Oreochromis niloticus: one gene and its partner. The protein of the gene in region 1 purifies or fractionates together with the protein of each later gene. This does not show direct contact. Links are inferred from orthologs where the notes say so. Each region holds a gene or a part of one and is shown on either strand. Other genes may lie near its edges. The genes, in order: ptpn9a and lztr1.

The links.
Region 2: the proteins of ptpn9a (region 1) and lztr1 purify together in Homo sapiens (affinity purification with mass spectrometry; 3 studies listed by BioGRID and IntAct, with this or other methods). This does not show direct contact. The link is inferred for Oreochromis niloticus from reciprocal best matches to the Homo sapiens genes PTPN9 and LZTR1.

Annotation. Positions count from the first base shown.
Region 1 is NC_031972.2:44,377,126-44,385,502, forward strand, and holds the start of ptpn9a (tyrosine-protein phosphatase non-receptor type 9), read right to left. Parts: upstream 3,971-8,377; 5' UTR 3,382-3,970; coding exon 3,349-3,381; intron 1-3,348. UniProt on the Homo sapiens protein: Protein-tyrosine phosphatase that could participate in the transfer of hydrophobic ligands or in functions of the Golgi apparatus.
Region 2 is NC_031977.2:17,829,939-17,838,634, forward strand, and holds the start of lztr1 (leucine-zipper-like transcriptional regulator 1), read right to left. Parts: upstream 3,457-8,696; 5' UTR 2,996-3,456; coding exon 2,844-2,995; intron 2,760-2,843; coding exon 2,697-2,759; intron 2,612-2,696; coding exon 2,555-2,611; intron 2,252-2,554; coding exon 2,172-2,251; intron 2,081-2,171; coding exon 1,972-2,080; intron 657-1,971; coding exon 573-656; intron 486-572; coding exon 428-485; intron 329-427; coding exon 189-328; intron 97-188; coding exon 1-96. Other genes in the region: gal3st1a (galactosylceramide sulfotransferase), read right to left, coding at 7,245-8,388, 8,640-8,696. UniProt on the Homo sapiens protein: Substrate-specific adapter of a BCR (BTB-CUL3-RBX1) E3 ubiquitin-protein ligase complex that mediates ubiquitination of Ras (K-Ras/KRAS, N-Ras/NRAS and H-Ras/HRAS).

The DNA of each region.
Region 1 (8,377 bases):
GTCAACACCAAAAGGGTCAGACATCCATCCATCTCCGCTTATCCTTTTCAGGGTCGCGGGGGGGCGCTGGAGCCTATCCCAGCTGTCATAGGGCGTTCTTAGAGGCGGGGTACACCCTGGACAGGTCGCCAGTCTGTCGCAGGGCCAACATACAGGGACAGACAACCATTCACGCTCACATTCACTCGCACATTCACACCTAGCGGCAATTTGGATTATCCAATTAACCTATCCCCACAAGCTGCATGTTTTTGGACGGTGGGAGGAAGCCGGAGTACCCGGAGGGAACCCACGCAAACACGGGGAGAACATGCAAACTCCACACAGAAAGACCCCGGCCTGATGTTGGAATTGAACTCAGGACCTTCTTGCTGTGCGGCAACAGTGCTAACCACCGTGCCACCGTGCTGCCGGGTCAGACATCCATTTCCAAAAAATAAAACAACTGATAATAAGAATAATTCAGAATGGATAATCACAGATTTTAATATAATACACCAGTTTTAGGGCGGGCACTTTAGTTATCAAATCTGAGGCAGAGGCTCACTCATGTTAAGCAAACTTTTCAAAAAAAGTTAAATAACAGTTTGTGAGGAGAAAGAAGAAACATGCACGACACTGGTTCAGTGTCTTAACCACACAGAGGAAGTCAACCAAATCATCAAGCACTTAAAGTAGCATTTTTCAATACAGAAAGTGGAAAATCCTTTCTGTATGCTAGAGCATATAGTTAGGGCTGGATCAGGTGACCCTGAATCCTCCCTTTGTTATGCTGCAATAGGTGTAGGCTGCCGGGGATTCCCATGATGCATTGAGTATTTCTTCTTCAGTCGCTTTTCTCCCACACTATGTGTTAACAGACCTCTCTCCATTGAATCATTACTTGTTATTAATCTCTGGCTCTCTTCCACAGCATGTGTTTTGTCCCATCTTCCTCCCCTCACCCCAGCCGGTCGCTGCAGATAGCCTCCCTTCTCTGAGCCTGGTTCTGCTGGAGCTTTCTTCCTTCCCACTGTCACCAAAGTGCTTGCTCATAGGGAGTCATGACTGTTGTAAGGTCTACCTTACAATATAAAGCACCCTGAGGTGACTGCTGTGATTTCGTGCTGTATAAATAAAACTGGGAAAACCCCACTTCTGATCCTGTTCAAGCCATGTTTAGAGCTAAATGAATCCTGTCAAATGCTGCTATACATATCAATAAATATGTTCTTTAGAGCGTCTACTGACATTTTTAAGTATGCACACAAAGCTTCCATTAAATGCATGTAAAATTATCCATCCATCCATTCTCTTTCACTTATACTTATTAGGGTTGTGGGGAGGCTGGAGTCTATCCCAGCTGCCATAGGGCGAATGGTGGGCTACACCCTGGACGAGTTGCCAGACTGTCACATGACTAAAAGACAGACAACCATACAGACCTATGAGCAGTTTAGAATCACCACTTAACATAACCCCACTGACTGCATGTGTTTACACTGTGGGAGGAAGCCAGAGTACCTGGAGAGAACCCACCTAGACACTGAGTCAGAAAAAAAATCATTATCAAAGAATATGGGCAAAACAGAAGCAACACTCCCTTTATAATTTTGTTGACCTTGACTACAAGTCCACTCTTGCCCGTTTGTTTTCCTCTCTGTCTTCATTGTGCTCGCTTCTGTTCTCTTCAACTTTGTGCTGTTACCCAAAAGTTAAATTATAACAGTGAAGCAGAACTTACAAACCAATAAAAGGCATAAACTGATCCTCATTTATAACAATATTCAGACTAACTACAGGCTGCTACTGGACGTAAACTTCCTTTCGACTTGCTCTCACCTGGATCTGGAGCTGTACTGTAGACAAACAATGAAGCGCAGAACCGGAATAGAAATCTTTAACAAACTAAAAAGTGCACAAATAAAGTACATCAGCTCTTTTGCTGGTATATCACTAGCTGCCAGCAGACTAGTGGCTCGAAAAGCTAAAATTAGTGAATAATCTCTGGTGATTTAGGCTACATTAGCTAAAGTTTTTGACACCATTTAGTTTTTCAATCTGCATCACTGATTTGTGTCATGAAATTACCTCTGCATATTCTTAGTCAAGTCTTATCTAGAGTATTAATGACAAACCACACTGCTGAAGCAGCAACGCCTCTGTGAGAGACTGAATCATCATGGCACCAACAACACTGGGCAGTTTTCTTTAGGGATGCCTGAGCACCCCTAAAAAGGGTCTGAACTCGCCTATGTAAGATACCGATACCAGCATCGGCATCGATATTTCGATCTGCCCACCTCTACCATCCATGCATAATTCTACTACTACACTTTGTTTTATAGCTAGGTCTGTAAAGGATTTCCATCCTCATATGATTAAATACTTGAAATCGCAGGAATATTCAACTCAAAAATCACAAGTCAAAAAAGAGCAAACAAGTAAATCTTCACACTTGAGGACCTGTTCAGATATTACCTCAATAAACAAACAAAAACAAAGGCTGGCTGCTTATTTGTCCATCATCTAAGGGATTTATCAAGCAAATCCTTCTGCTCCAATAATCAAGAGTCTCATCATTCCTAGAATAAACGCTCCGTTCTTCGGGCTCCGAGTTCTTGACGCCTAGAATGAGCCAATAGGCCAATTCCTGTTCTTGGAATAGTTTTCTCAGAATTCTCTCACTTCTCAATACTTCCAAGCCTCGAAGTAGAAAAACAGGCCAATAATATCGAAAACGATATGATGACTTAAAGCTGGTGTTTAAGAGTGTGGAGACAGAGTTTGCACGCCTATTTTTACTTAAAGCAAACAACAAAGTACTCAAATATTTGAGAGAAACGCACTTCCTCCATCCTTAACTTAGAAAGTGCGGCGATATGTGCGTTAAAATGTGCTCGGATGGCACGGCATGAGCATGCAGGACTCTTTACGCTGAGCCAAGTTTCTACTGTGTACATTTTGTCAAAGACCGGCCAGCGTTTCCGACTCTCGCGGCCAAGCAGTTTCCCGTCAATATCACCGTGTTTAACTACGACACACGAAACAAACATGCCCCCCCTTCCCTTCCATTTTCTGGGGGGGCGATAAAGACAAGCTCGGCCTGTGCTGCAGCCCATCAGCTCAGCCGCTGACAGTGATGCAACGAGAGCAGTAATGCGCCAGAAATCGATACAATATTTCCGCTCTGCATTCAGGACCGTTTCGGAGCACAGCCACCATTTGCGCACTCTCAGTACACAGGGCAAAAAAAAAAAAAAAGCCTCCAGGTAGAGTCTCGAGACTGAAAGATTTTTATTTATTTATTTTTAGCCAACATAACCCAGAAACGAAGAAGTGGAAAAGACACGGACTCTCGGGGCCTACCTGCTCTTCCTCCGCTGATAAAGTAGCTGCCATGATTCCCGTCAAATCTTTGACCACTTCTTTTTTTTTGTTTCCTTCCCGACACTGCTCCGTTTCATACAGCAGAGGATGGCGGTGATGTCGGTGTGTCTGTCCCTCGTGTGAAAAAAACGGGGTTTGGAGGAGGAGGTGGAGGAGAGGGGTTGTCCCTCTCGCTCACAAACTTGAAGGCATCTAAAAACGCCACAGTTTTTAGCCGAGTGTGTTCGCTCCTGATACCGCCTGCGATCGCGAAGCACGCGGGCCAATTAGCATAAATCTACCAGTCTACAAACTCGAGCGAGCCGCTGATGTGTCAGATTTCACCGAGAAGGAAATTGGAAATGGAAAAGGGAAGGAGGAAAAAAAGCACGGCGCTCGGAACAGCTTAGACGAGGACTCGCTTCATTCAGCTCGGGTTCAGACCGTGTTGTGCAGCTCCTCCACCTAACTTAGCATACGTCGGACTGCGGCTGCCCGCTGCCTCCTCCATGCCATGTATCGCAAGTTTTGGGGCTGTGAACCTCGCCTTTATGCTGTGAGACGGTGACACGCGCACGACCCTGAGCACCGCGAGAGACCGCAGGCTTTTCTCTCTGCGTATCGCTGCGCCCCCCCCTGGTGGATAAGTCGAGAACATGACGAAAGCACACTGACCTCCGCCTTCATTCATAAAAATAGAAAACTAACAAGGGAAAAACGCCACTCTTAACATGGTTAAACCTAAATGGATGCTTTATTTGAAAAAGAACACGTGAAGAGTGCGTTCAGTGATATGTATTATTATATTATGTTTCCTGTAAGTACAAAATTTGACCTCAGTTAATCTCAATTTAGCTAATTAAGTGAGTAGTTTTGACTAGGGAGGCTATATTTCAAGTGAAATCTATAGTTTTTCAGCATTTATCCTAAAGCAACTGGAACTTTCTATTTTTATAATACTACTACTAATTCTAACAAGTTTGAATGAACATTTAATGTTTTCTAGAGTTGAGCGGATGAATCCGAATATTTATAGTATCAATAGCAATGCTGGCGTTACTTTTTCTATCCTCTAAGTTCGGTATGCAGCCCACTGGTAAATTATTCTTTTGGAAATGGAAAAAAATAAACCTCAAACATGCACTATGGTACATTTAAACCACATAAGTTGACCCAAAGTGCATTAGAGACCTGTCTCTGTCACAGTTATGAACATACACGAACAGCTTGAATGTGTGTTTTGTTGTATTAACTAAATATCGTGGAAAGTAATCACAACCCGTAAATAAGCTGCCTTTATAGGTTAAATGTGTCTGTATCGGTTTTGGTATCAGCGAGTCTGGCCCTGTATTTACTTACTTTCTAATATTTCTAAGGTAATGTAAGCAAAGAAGCAAAAGGTGTAAACTCTAGCAGCTAGGCACTAGCTGACTGAAAATATATCTTTGCATGCTAGTTATATTTTCAGGTGAGGATGTTGGACTATTTTTAAATATGTTAACTAAAAATAGAATCTTAGTAACACACCTTGTTGAGTGTGAGGAGTTAACTAAAACTGATGGCTATTTTATGTAAGGGCTAGTGCAATTAAAGTGTTAGCTTAGCATATTTTAGCGTACAGTCTAGAGGCACTGCTCACTGCTCATGCAAGGGTGCACATTTTCTTTTTGTTGTTGTTGTTGTTGTTTTTTTTAAGTAGTATTGAGCAATAGTTATCCAGACTGCCAAGTTTTTCTTTGGACATTGGCTGGTTTCTCATTCATTTTCAGTCCAGTCATGCTGTTTATACATGTAACAGACAACTTAGCAAAGAACCAATTTTAATTTCTTTCTCAAGCCACTTTTTTACGAGCACCCTGTTGCAAAACCATACCAGTTGTTTACATTTCCTTAGTCAAATCTATGAAAAATGCCAACGATAACACATTTTGACAGGCATTAAAATGATTTTCTGCATAAATAAAGTTATTCCCAAAAGCCAAATACTTGGCATATCATTGCACGGTGTGCAGTGTCTCCTAAAAAAATACTAAGAAAATTGGACAAACAGAGGACATAAGAAGAAATAGTTCACCCCCCCCCCAAAAAAACTAAACAAAACCCCAAACAAACAAAAAAACCTATCCACAGCAGCAAAGACCTGAGACAGGATCTGAAAGATGCATTTGGCTCTGTAGTTGATCCATCCACTGTTCATCGAAACCTTGTCAGAAATGGTCTCAGTGGAGCGGTGGCTGCCAAGAAGCCATTCTTAAGGAGAGAAAATGTGAAGAAAACTCTGAGGTAAATACTGAAAATCAGTGGCAACATGTCTTATGAAGAGATGATTCCAGATTTGAAAATTTTGGTAAAAATGGTCATCAATAAGCACAGAACAGGTCATGTAGAGGTACAACAGTGACTTTCTATAGACATTTGTGAAACACGGTGGAGGGGCTGTCTTAGTTTGGGGCTGCATTTTAGCCAGTGGTGTTGGACATCTTGTCAAAATTGATGGAATTATAAACTCAGAATAGTACTGTCAGATTGCACTACCATCTGGAAACCATATGATTGGCATCAGCTTCATTTTTCAACATGGAAACGATCCCAAACACACTATAAAAACATATCTGGATATTAAAAAACAAAGAATGGAACGCCATCAGCCATGGATTGGCCTACCCAGAGCCTCGACCACAACATTATTGAAGCAGTGTGTGATCATCTTAACAGAAAGCAGAACAACAGACAGCCAATATCCAAAGAAGAGCTTTGAATGTCCTTCAAGGAGCCTGGAGAACTATTCCTGAAGATACTTAAAGAAATGACAAGAAAGCTGCCTCAGAGAGTTTAAGCTGTGTTGAGGATAAAGGTGGCCATACCAAATATTGACCCTCATTAAGCTTGTTAGAATTGTACTTACTTTATATACCTTATAAATTCCTCATATTCCATGCATGTTTGCACATAATTCCATAAACTGCTCCACCTATTTCCCATTTTTCTTGCAAAATATAAAGAATTAAGGGGTGGCTCAAGACTTTTGCACAGTGCTGCAGCTAGTTTGTTTGTTGGACTCCAAGCTGTATTCCTGATTCAAGAACTTTAAATCCTATTAATGAAGGGTTAACATTCCTTTTATTCTTTCTGCCATTGAGCTGGCACTGCGACCTCAAACAGCCTTTTCTCGGTTAAAAACACAATTAATCCAATGAGCAACACCAGAATCACCATTAGCCAGTAAGCACCATAGGTAGGACTAACTGCAGTGTCATGGTGTTTGTTGAGTTTGTCAAGCTGTGCATTGCAACTTTCTTAAAGGTACATGCAATCTGAAGCAGAATGTTATTGTAATTTTCAGCCACTGTAATCTGCATTCATAGTGTGCAGCTTTGTGCACATTTTTCATCAGCTTTGAGTCTACATCACAGCTGCACTCCCCAAACCAGCAATTCACATTATTAATGCATTACATAAAGTGGGAAGACACAAATAATAATATGAGCAGGCCCATCCATAATAGTTGGTTGCACTTATAGCAGTTTAATTAGTCAAACTTTCAACTCTTGCTTCCTTCTTGCTACATTATAATCTAGTAGAGTTTACAGGAAATGCATGACATCATAAGAATGAGAAAATACCCAACAGCACGATAAAGTCACTGTAACATGAGCCACAGACACAATACAGGTCTCCCTTGGAATATTATGGGCTGCTCATATAGTTCAGCAGGGAGGTTATTTCGAGCGCAGCCAGGAGATTGCATATACCACAAAGCTATTGAAGGCCATCATTTCACGCCTTTGGGTGTTTTAATGAGACTGCAAAGGTAAAATGATGCAAAACAAAGTGAGAGGCCGTGCTTATCTCAACATAGGTCGATAGAGAAGGAAGGGAAGATGGCAGAGTGTTTGTCAACGTGCTTCTGTAGGCCATCAAATATAGGAACACTGGAAGGCACGATTATTCCCCCCACAATAAGCAAACTTTAAATATTGAAGCGTGAGAAAGTCTTGCTTGAAAACCAAAGGGAAAAGGGAGTGGACAACAATAGACTTCCTGTGAAACCAGCTGACATCATCCTTTGGGAAAATGTGATTGGTAAACCTTTAGCCCTTCCCCCTAATAGTGTCAATCTGACTAAAAAAACTAAAAAAAAGGACGCAGTAAACCTGTGAGAAATAAAGATTTCAAGAGTTGATAAACACATCAATAAAAGCTAGAGAGGAAGGTGAGGTTCTCTACAGTTGTTGCCAAAAAAAAAATCAGTTCGCTACAAGATTGAAGTTGTTTTACATAATGCGGGTTAATGACACGAGCCACTTCAGGCTTTATACATCAAGTCTAAAATGGGTGCTAAATGCATTTCGCAAACACACAAACACACTTAGCCAAACTCTGTGAACCCAGTGCTGCATGAAGCTGTATGATCTTAGTGCAGTACGTAAGAACTGAGGAGATTTAATGACCTGAACAGCAGTTTACACTCTTTTATTAACGTGGCACACAGATGAAGTTTGCTCTCACTGATATTACTCTCAGACGTGCACAGAGAAAGAGAGATGTGCAGAAGAAACACAAATCTGCTTCACTCCTTAAACGTCTTGTAACAAGGTTTTTGTAAAGATCAGAGCATCTGTGTCTGTGTGTGTGTGGAGGGGGGGAGACTGACAGCACTATGAAAAATGTATCTGTGAATTGGCAGGTGCTCGGTTCCTGGAAAGTACTGCTGAGTCATATCGGAATTCTTGCAGTAACCGCACATCTCGCTTTGCTCTGTTTGACATGTCTCTCAGTACAGAGGTGAAAGAGGAAGTATCCGACTGTACTCGATGAACTGCATTTGTCAATTTGCTCTGGATTACACAAGGCGTATTCTTTAGATTTTTTGCAGAAACCTTTAACCGCAAATGCAAGAAAACTGGGAAACGTTGCTTCTTGTTGTTTTTCCGAATTATGCTTCGTTAAAGAAAAAAAAAAAATTAACTGAATCATCATCACAAACCACATCATGCTTTCCAGGACTTATCGTGTGTAAATGTGGTAT
Region 2 (8,696 bases), on another chromosome or scaffold:
AGGTGGCGGTCAAAGGCAACCATAGTGTGTCCATAGCGCCTCTGCGGAGGTGGAGGGGAGCCCCGCAGCAAATGTTCAGTTGGTATACGTGTCCACCTGAGAAAATGGGAGTTATGAGTGTCAGGTAATGCTGGTAAATATAGTATAAGTAGCTGAATGATTTAAAAAAAAAAAAGGGTTCTGCTTACATGTGGCCTTGGAACTCAAACTGAAAGAGGTTGTTAGTAATTTTGGCTCCACTCTGTCCAGAAAACACAAACATCTTGTCCCTGCATACGGCGACAGGGAAGTTGCAGCAAGACGGCGGAATTTCACCACTCTGATCGATCTGATGGACACAAAGACAGACGTGAACGCTGACCAAGGGTTTCTGAGTCTTTAACTTTAAATGTTGTTCTCTTTTGTTGTGAAAATGAATTAAACATACCTCTTCCCAGCACGCGTGCTCTCGGTCCTGCAGACTGATGGTCCACATGTCGTTCAACCTATACGTGGGCGAAATAGTCACCAAGGTTATGCTCAAAAATAAATACATCTGCAGAAAATGAAAACAAAAAAAAATTCATGCATACCTGGCATTTCCATCATAACCAGCAAATATCCAGAGTTTATCACTGTAGACTGTGGCCCCATGTGCAGATCTGGCCACTGGCAAGCTGGAACAGAGATTCACAGTCAACACTTAAGCATAGTCCCAGACTAAATTTTTATTTGCCTCTGTACCTCAAAGGTCCCTGCAAAGACTTAAAACAGTTGTAGATTTTGCTTGTCCTGGATTAAAATAAGCTGTCCGCAAGACTGTGGATTAGAGATACTATGGGATTAATTTTTGAAGTAGGTGGGCTTAACTTTTATCAGCAATTTTGCGAAGAATCACAGACTACTTGGAATATCTAAAAAAACCCACCAACCATCTATTACATCATGTTGATGACATACGTTTGCAGGGCCATTTTTGAACTGATGAGGGTTTAAGCCTTTAAAGCAGGGGTGGGGAACTCCAAGGCTCAAGGGCCGGTGTTTTCAGTATCAACCTGCAGGACACCGACCTTTGAGTCCTGGCGTTCCCCACCTCTGCTTTAAAATGACCGACCAAAAGAACTCTGTCTAGGCCAACTTGAAGATACTGATGTTAATAAGCATCAACTACAGCTAAACGCAGAACTGTAATGCTTATTCATGTACTGTAAAATTATTTTGTGTAATTAATTTTTTGATTGCCCAGTTAAGAAGCCACAAAAAGCATAAAATTTTATTAAAAAGCTGATGCAGAGACAAATTGATATGTACTTGTGGCTGGATCATTAACTTTGGTGTGAGTGCAGGCAAGTAGAGGATTGGGGAGTGGGGGCTGTCATGCTAGGACATAGTAGAAGGCAACTGTGCACAGTGTGAGCTCCTCTAAAGTTTTAGTTCAGCCAGTAAACATAAAGGCACATGCCAAACGCGCCCACAGTTTTTCCAACATATTTTATCCTCCAGACAACCTAAAGCACAGGTGTTGAACTCCAGGCCTTGAGGGTCGGTGTCCTGCAAGTTTTAGATGTGTCCTTGATCCAACACAGCTGATTTAACTATTTTACTATTCTTATTGTATATATTGTATATCTTATATCTTATTCATCTGTTCCTCTGTCTCCTGCTGCTTTGAGCATGTACATAACAAAAGAATTTCCCTCGGGATAAATAAAGTTATTCTTATTCTTGTTCTTAAGTGGCTAAATGACCTCCTCAACATGAGTTGAAGTTCTCCAGAGGCCTGATAATGAACTAATCATTTGATTCGGATGTGTTGACCCAGGGTGAGATCTAAAACCTGCAGGACACTGGCCCTCAAGGCCTGGAGTTCGACACCCCTGACCTAAAGTATTAAGGGTGGAAACCACGGAGGCAAGATACAATAATATCATGGGACACAATAACAATGACAATGTTTGGTCATTATTAAAAAGAAACAAGTTAATACATTACCTTCCCTCCACTTTCCATTCAGTCCACTGTCCTGTAGCAAACTTGTACTCAAAAAGGTCATTTTTGTTTTTCAGGTTTGAATTTGAGTAAATGTCTCCAGTGTAGCCCCCTAGAAAATATCAAAGTTGAACATTACAAAAATGCCACCAGAGTTTAAAATGGATAAAATAAAGGACTTTTATAGATAATTAAGGATTTACCAAATACAAACATGCTGCTGCCATAGACCACAGCTGAGTGGTGGTATCTGGGGGCAGGTGGCGTTCCAGTGGTGAAAGCTCTGTGAATTATAGACATGTGTCAACTTCTATTTTATTATACGGTTAAGATTGTGTATGTTTTATATATACTCTGGCTGATTTGGTGTCTTGTATTGTAATACTTTCAAAAAAAGTGTCCACTGTGGAAATAAGCTGATCTTTATGATTACTTTTTAGTGCTCCTTGTTCTGATACTCACTGCATGCACACTATGATGGTCTTAAAATTTAAATATGTGTTAATCTGGGATATTCCGTGGATTGTGATATGTATTGCAACAAAGTAAAATCAAATCAACTGTGGCTGTGAGGCTATAGCCTTACCGACACCAGGAACAATCCTTCACATCAAAGCGAAGGAGATCATTCAGCATGTTTTTGCTGTTGGGTGACACAGAATTCTCACATACATATAATAACTAATACATATATCTGAAAAATGTCTGCAAAGTCTTGTAGCCCTTACCCATTGTCTCCCCCGAACACATATATTGCATCTCTGTAAGCCACCACAGTGTGTTTGCTGCGCCTGCGTGAAGCCGCATGAAGTTCAATAAGACCACAGGTATTCAGTTTGAGTGAAGATGCTGCTGCTCATCTGTCCACACCTTACCTTGCACCAACAAACTCATCGCACGGAGGGAGTCTTCTCCAGCGATGAACAGTCTCAAATGGGCCGAAATTAAGTGTCAAATATTCCACGCTGTCAGAGCAGCTGTGGTCGAAATCAACACTCGGAGCCACTTTAGTTGACTTACAGGACATGTTTTTGCTAACTCCCCGGCTCAATCAGATGTCAGGGCCACTCATCTGCAGGGACGTGAACGATTAACGACGCTGTTAATGCCCCAGCATAAGTGCTAATACTTCTGTCACCACATGTAAATCTGGAGTGACATTGGTACTACTCTTACCCAAGTCTTCTTTGTTAAAGACTGAGGCTGTTGTCCTCCAGAGAACTGTTAGCTACAAAAAAGCTCAGCTAATCCTGGCTAGCTAGCTAGCCTCTAGCTAATGCTACGCCCCAAAACTAGCAACATGAAGAAGAAAACGACAAGTTAACGAACAACGCTAACGTTGCGCTAAAACATCTGGCTAACCGGTTCGATACCTACGATGTCATGATATTAGACACAAAAAACAACACCAAGAAATCAAAAGCAGTGGTAAATCCACGCCCCCCACAACCCTGCGGGTACTTCACTTCCTGTAATGTTGAAAAGGCGGAGTCAAAATGCTTTCAGTCCTGTAATCTTGAGTAGTATGTGCACATTTGAAGTTGACATGAAACACTATATATAGTACCTATAGGTATTAACGTTAATTTACAGTTTGGAGCCCTACTCTAAAAACCTGTCATAGATTTAGCACCGTCTGTAAAGCTGGAATTTGGAAAAGAGTCTTTGAAATTAAAGATTTTAAAGCACGTTAAGCACCATCTTGTGCCAGTATAGAATGTGATATCGCTGAGTTCCTCGGTTGGTTGTAGACACATTAGTTTAGTTTATGTTAGCTAACTAGTGACAGAATCAATAACCTAAAAGTAAAAAAAACAAAGAAAGAAAATAAGGAAACTAAAGCTAAAAAAGCAGCAGTCACTCATTGCTGCTCCTGGTAGCAGCAATGAGTTTTATGTTAAAAACAAGGATATAGTGTCCACTTTCACTCTTTTTCTCTGAAGCAGTAAGTGGTTCTCTGTTGTTAGCTAGCTGGACTGAAAAGGGGTTATAGATAACTTAATAAATGAGGGTTTTGTGAAGGATGGCCTGTTTGAGTCAGGTGCCCCAGTGGCTCACCAAACTGAAAAGCAGGAGTCAGACAAAATCCCCTCTGTGTTTGATTTTTCCTTGTCTGTTCGGTTGGACACACCGAGCAGAGAAATCAACAGGCAAAGCAGATGTCTACAAGATGTGATCATTAGTATTATATGTATTAAAATTATCTCTTTTCCCAAGCATATCATGTTTGAATTTACAGCATACAGGGTTACCACATGCGCATCACACCACAAACTTAACTGTCTTACCAAAGCATGACCGGGAATCCTGACATCCATAAACATGTCTGCATGAACAATAGATTGATGTATGCAACAGACAAAAGAAAAAATATTGTTTTGGCTTGGAACTTATTATTTTACAAAAGAAGAAGACTAACGTCGATTTTTTTTTCCATGCAAAGAACTTAAACAAGCTCTCCTTCAAGGAACCTAAAACTTTAAAAGTTATTGGTTCTCTCACGAGTTAGCTAATATAAACTAACATTAATTTATTAACAGCAACCAACCAAACAACGCAGTGACAGTCTTTACTGGGATAAAATAAAACCAAACATTCTCTAAAACGTTTAAAGCCTATTTCTTAAATACAGCTTTACAGTTTTAGAGTAGGGCTCCATGGTGTAAATTTCTCTCAACAAATGCAGTGTTTCATGCCCTCTTTATCGCTCTTACCTAAAGCATGTTTGTCCTATAGCAGCCACCGTAGCTAGCGAATATGCAGTTGAACTTGGGAGGTTAATGCTTCAGCTAGGAATCTGCATTGTAATTTACAATGCAACCGGAAACTCCTTTTAATCTGTGCTATAACCTTCCACATAACAGTTACATAATGTAACTTTAAGCATACTTTATTCAGCATGGTCAGCATGTGTGTCTCTATTTGGACAGGGAGAGTGGTTTTCACCCTCCGCAAACGCACTCCTGTCCAAAATCCTTACAGCATGTTGCTGCTCCAGACTAGCAAACTCCCAAAACTTCTGCTTTCATGTCAATTAATCAAGATCCAATTAATCAAGTGGGTTTGATTAGCAGCACTGCTGCTAATAACCCTCTTAATTCCAATGAAGTCAGAAATGAAAGGTGTAGTCTTTCAATTATCAATAATGGCACAGTGTAATATGTCAAGTGTCGTTGTTCATTTCAGGTTTTATTTGTCAAATTTTAATTCCTGTTAAGGGTTACATACATCCTGATATGTAAAACCGTAGACTTAACAGTGTTTGTAAGTCTATGACTGTCTTAACACAAATGTTAAGAACATCTCCAAGCAATGAATAAGTATTGTGATCATGCAGTTTCTGTTAAAAACATAACCATCCTCACTGAACTTTTCATGTTTTATTTTTTTATTTTATAACAACAAATCACAGTGGATTTAATTACACTTTTCTAACACTGATGATCAAAATAAATGCTTTAATAGGTCCGTTTGGAACCACTACCATTTTGAGGCATTATCTGCACCAAATGCTCATTTTAACAGGAAACTTGTGAAATGTTATTCACCCATCCATAGGCTGATACAATATGGTCATTTATCTTAACCCATCATTTTTAGGAACAGATATTTCCCAGGGCTGTCATTCAACAAAATTAAATGGTTGTTTTAAATAAACAATATTACTATTCATTTTATTGTGAGACTTAGCTTATCATATATTGGTAGTAACAATGGATTATTGTATGGAGAACAAAATCAGGACATTAGTTAAAATCAAATCATTAATAATACAAAACATTAAGAAAAGACAATACTGAATGGAAAGAAATACTGACTAAATATTATAGGTGAATTTACAAAACTAAAGTGTTTAACGAATGATGAAGAGCATTAACAAAACATAAATTAATGAAATGAAATTGCATTTCTTATGAGTGGTTCTGATAATAAGGCTGTGTAGACATGCGAGTGGTGTTTAACACTCTTGGTCATTGTACATTTAGGTAGGATCTTACTTGACAGACATATGTTTTACACTGTAAAAAGAAAATAGGTGAACCAACTTAATTGAATTGTTTCAATTGGTAACACCTAATTTAATTAAGTTCTTTGAAATGAAGTTAATACATTAGATAAATCAGTTGTGCACTCTAATGTATTAACTTCATTTCAAAGAACTTAATTAAATTAGGTGTTACCAATTGAAACAATTCAATTAAGTTGGTTCTTTTTTCAGTGTAGGTTATTTGCCTGCTCTCTACACAAGTCACATCACATTGTCACTCTACCTCCCAAAACAACTGGCAAGAGCAACACATTATTGTTGATTATCACTGAAATATAAGCAGCAAAACGAAAACTGAACAGTAAAGTTCTCACATGAAGAAAAAACATTGATATAGCTGGAAATGCAACATTTATCCTATAAAATTAAGTTGTTTTTTTTTTTTTTTTACAGCTAATTACATCATTTTTAATGGCTCTTTCATTTATTGATTCCTTATTAAACATATTACATGACAGACATGGAGAAGCACGTTTATAGTTGATAACATTAATGATGATTTGATTTAGAATTTGTAGTGATAGAACTCTCAAGTAGACTGATAGCTAATGCCATTCATTTAAAAAAAGTTATATATATATACATACATACATACATATGTATATATATATATATACACACATATATATATGTATAGAGAGAGAGAGAGAGATATTCACATACTTTTTAAAATCAGGACTGATTTTGTCCTCCACAGATAGTAAAGTAGTTGCATATTTTCACATATATTTCAGTCCTTAGTGGGGAATCAGTCACTTAGAAATGAAATGTTTTGACTTTTTCAAATGATCATCAAAGACGTCATTTACTACAAACCAACTGATATTCCTTCCATGTTTCCAAAATCTCAGAAATTTCTCAGGGATGGAAATAAATATTTCTTATCAATCCATCAAAGTGCTTTAGAACGTCATTGTGAACTTCATAGTTATGTCAAGTACTCCATTAGAACAAGCTGACATCTGAGAGTAAGAACAATTAAACGGACTCATAGTGGAGAATACTAAGCCTCGGCTGCATGTCGTAAACTGATTCAGTATTTGTAGAGCATAACTTCTTTTTTCTCAAGCTCTCATCATGTACATCACAGTGCACAACCATGTACAATTCAAACAGGCAAAGAGACAGAAAATATGACACGTTATTAACCTCTCATTCTGTCAACCACGCAGTACTTCTTAATACAGTGTTTCAGATTTAAATTGGCCCCTGGTGCTCACACACTGAGTTACCAGTTAATTATATCTCGGACATGGCCCCACAACTTGGTAATCCAGAGGTTCACCCCAAGCTCTGTTAAGTACTGAATCTCAGGCATTAACATCTTGCGGCACAGATTCCGATGTGCTTTGTCTATATTCTTTTTTAAATTATAGCCCATGATAGACTTCTCTCCGATTGGCTGCCAGGGCTGCATGTCTTTCTCTTGGATGCTGCCAGCTTCTACAGCATGGCCACCCTCAATGCAGATAGATGTCATCTCCTTGTTCCTCTTCTTGAGCTCTGCCACATCCTCAGCCATACGCTGGTGCCCGTACGCGTCTACTTTCTTCCAGAAAGTTTGATTAAAATGCTGATATAGCTTCCAATCAATAGCATTCCACTCAAGGGCCCTAGCTCTCAGCTCAGGAGTAAATTTAGACAAAGTGGATCCCTTACGGATATTGAGCTTAAAGAAGAGCAAATCATCCATCTCCCAGCAGAGGGCATCCTTTAGCAGGATGAGTGATTCCTCAAAGTGTTCCACTAACATGACCAGCTGAAAACGGTCACTGATGAATTTGATTCCTTCTTCCACTCGTGGATCATTCACATCCAGAGAGTTGTCCAGTCCAAAGTCAAAAAACAGCAGATTCTTGAGGTAGTAAGAGTTGAAGCTCCCTGGATCAAAGTACTTGTGGGGATCACGTAGGAACTCAGCCAGCTTGTCGTCACCTGGTATCTTCCAAGTAAAAGGCACCAGGCGGCCAAAGTAGTGGAAGGAAGATTCAAAAAGCTCTGCAGGGTCTCGCAGAATGGTGATGTAGGATGTGTCCACAGGCAGCAACTTGGACACTTCAGGTGCATTGAAGCGCATGTGATTACAGATAATGTTGAAACACATTCCCGGTCTGTAGTCTTTAACCTGGGAGCGCTGGAAAAAAGATGGGTAGAAGAAGTCATTTCTGCTGTCAGGAAAAGCAAATTTGACCCGGTGTTTCTCTCCAAACCGGAAAAGGATGTTAAGGAAGGTGCTGCTGGCTGTTTTATGGGTCTTCATGAACATGATATCAACTTTAGGAGTACAGGTGTAGGCAGTGTCTGAATTGTTGATGGTTGATTTGTGCTGGGACTGTGTTGGACGGTGTGCACAGGAATAAGGCACCGGAACCCTACATAGAGGAAAATGAGAACAAACTATAAAGACATATGGGTTTTGTGGAAATTGTCTCTAAATATGCTGTGACAGAAAATAAACTAAAGCACTAACCCATCACACTTGAGAAACTAGAAAAAAAATAGTGTTTTTTAAAAACAACTTATACCTAAATAATTGAATATGAAATATATTCCTTGCAGAAGAATGCAAATTTTACATTATGGGTTCTACAGAACACATGCACACCAGCAATAGGAATCTTACTCAGGCAGACTGTAGTGGATCTGTGGGGTGGAGAGGCAGTAAACAAGGATCATGCAG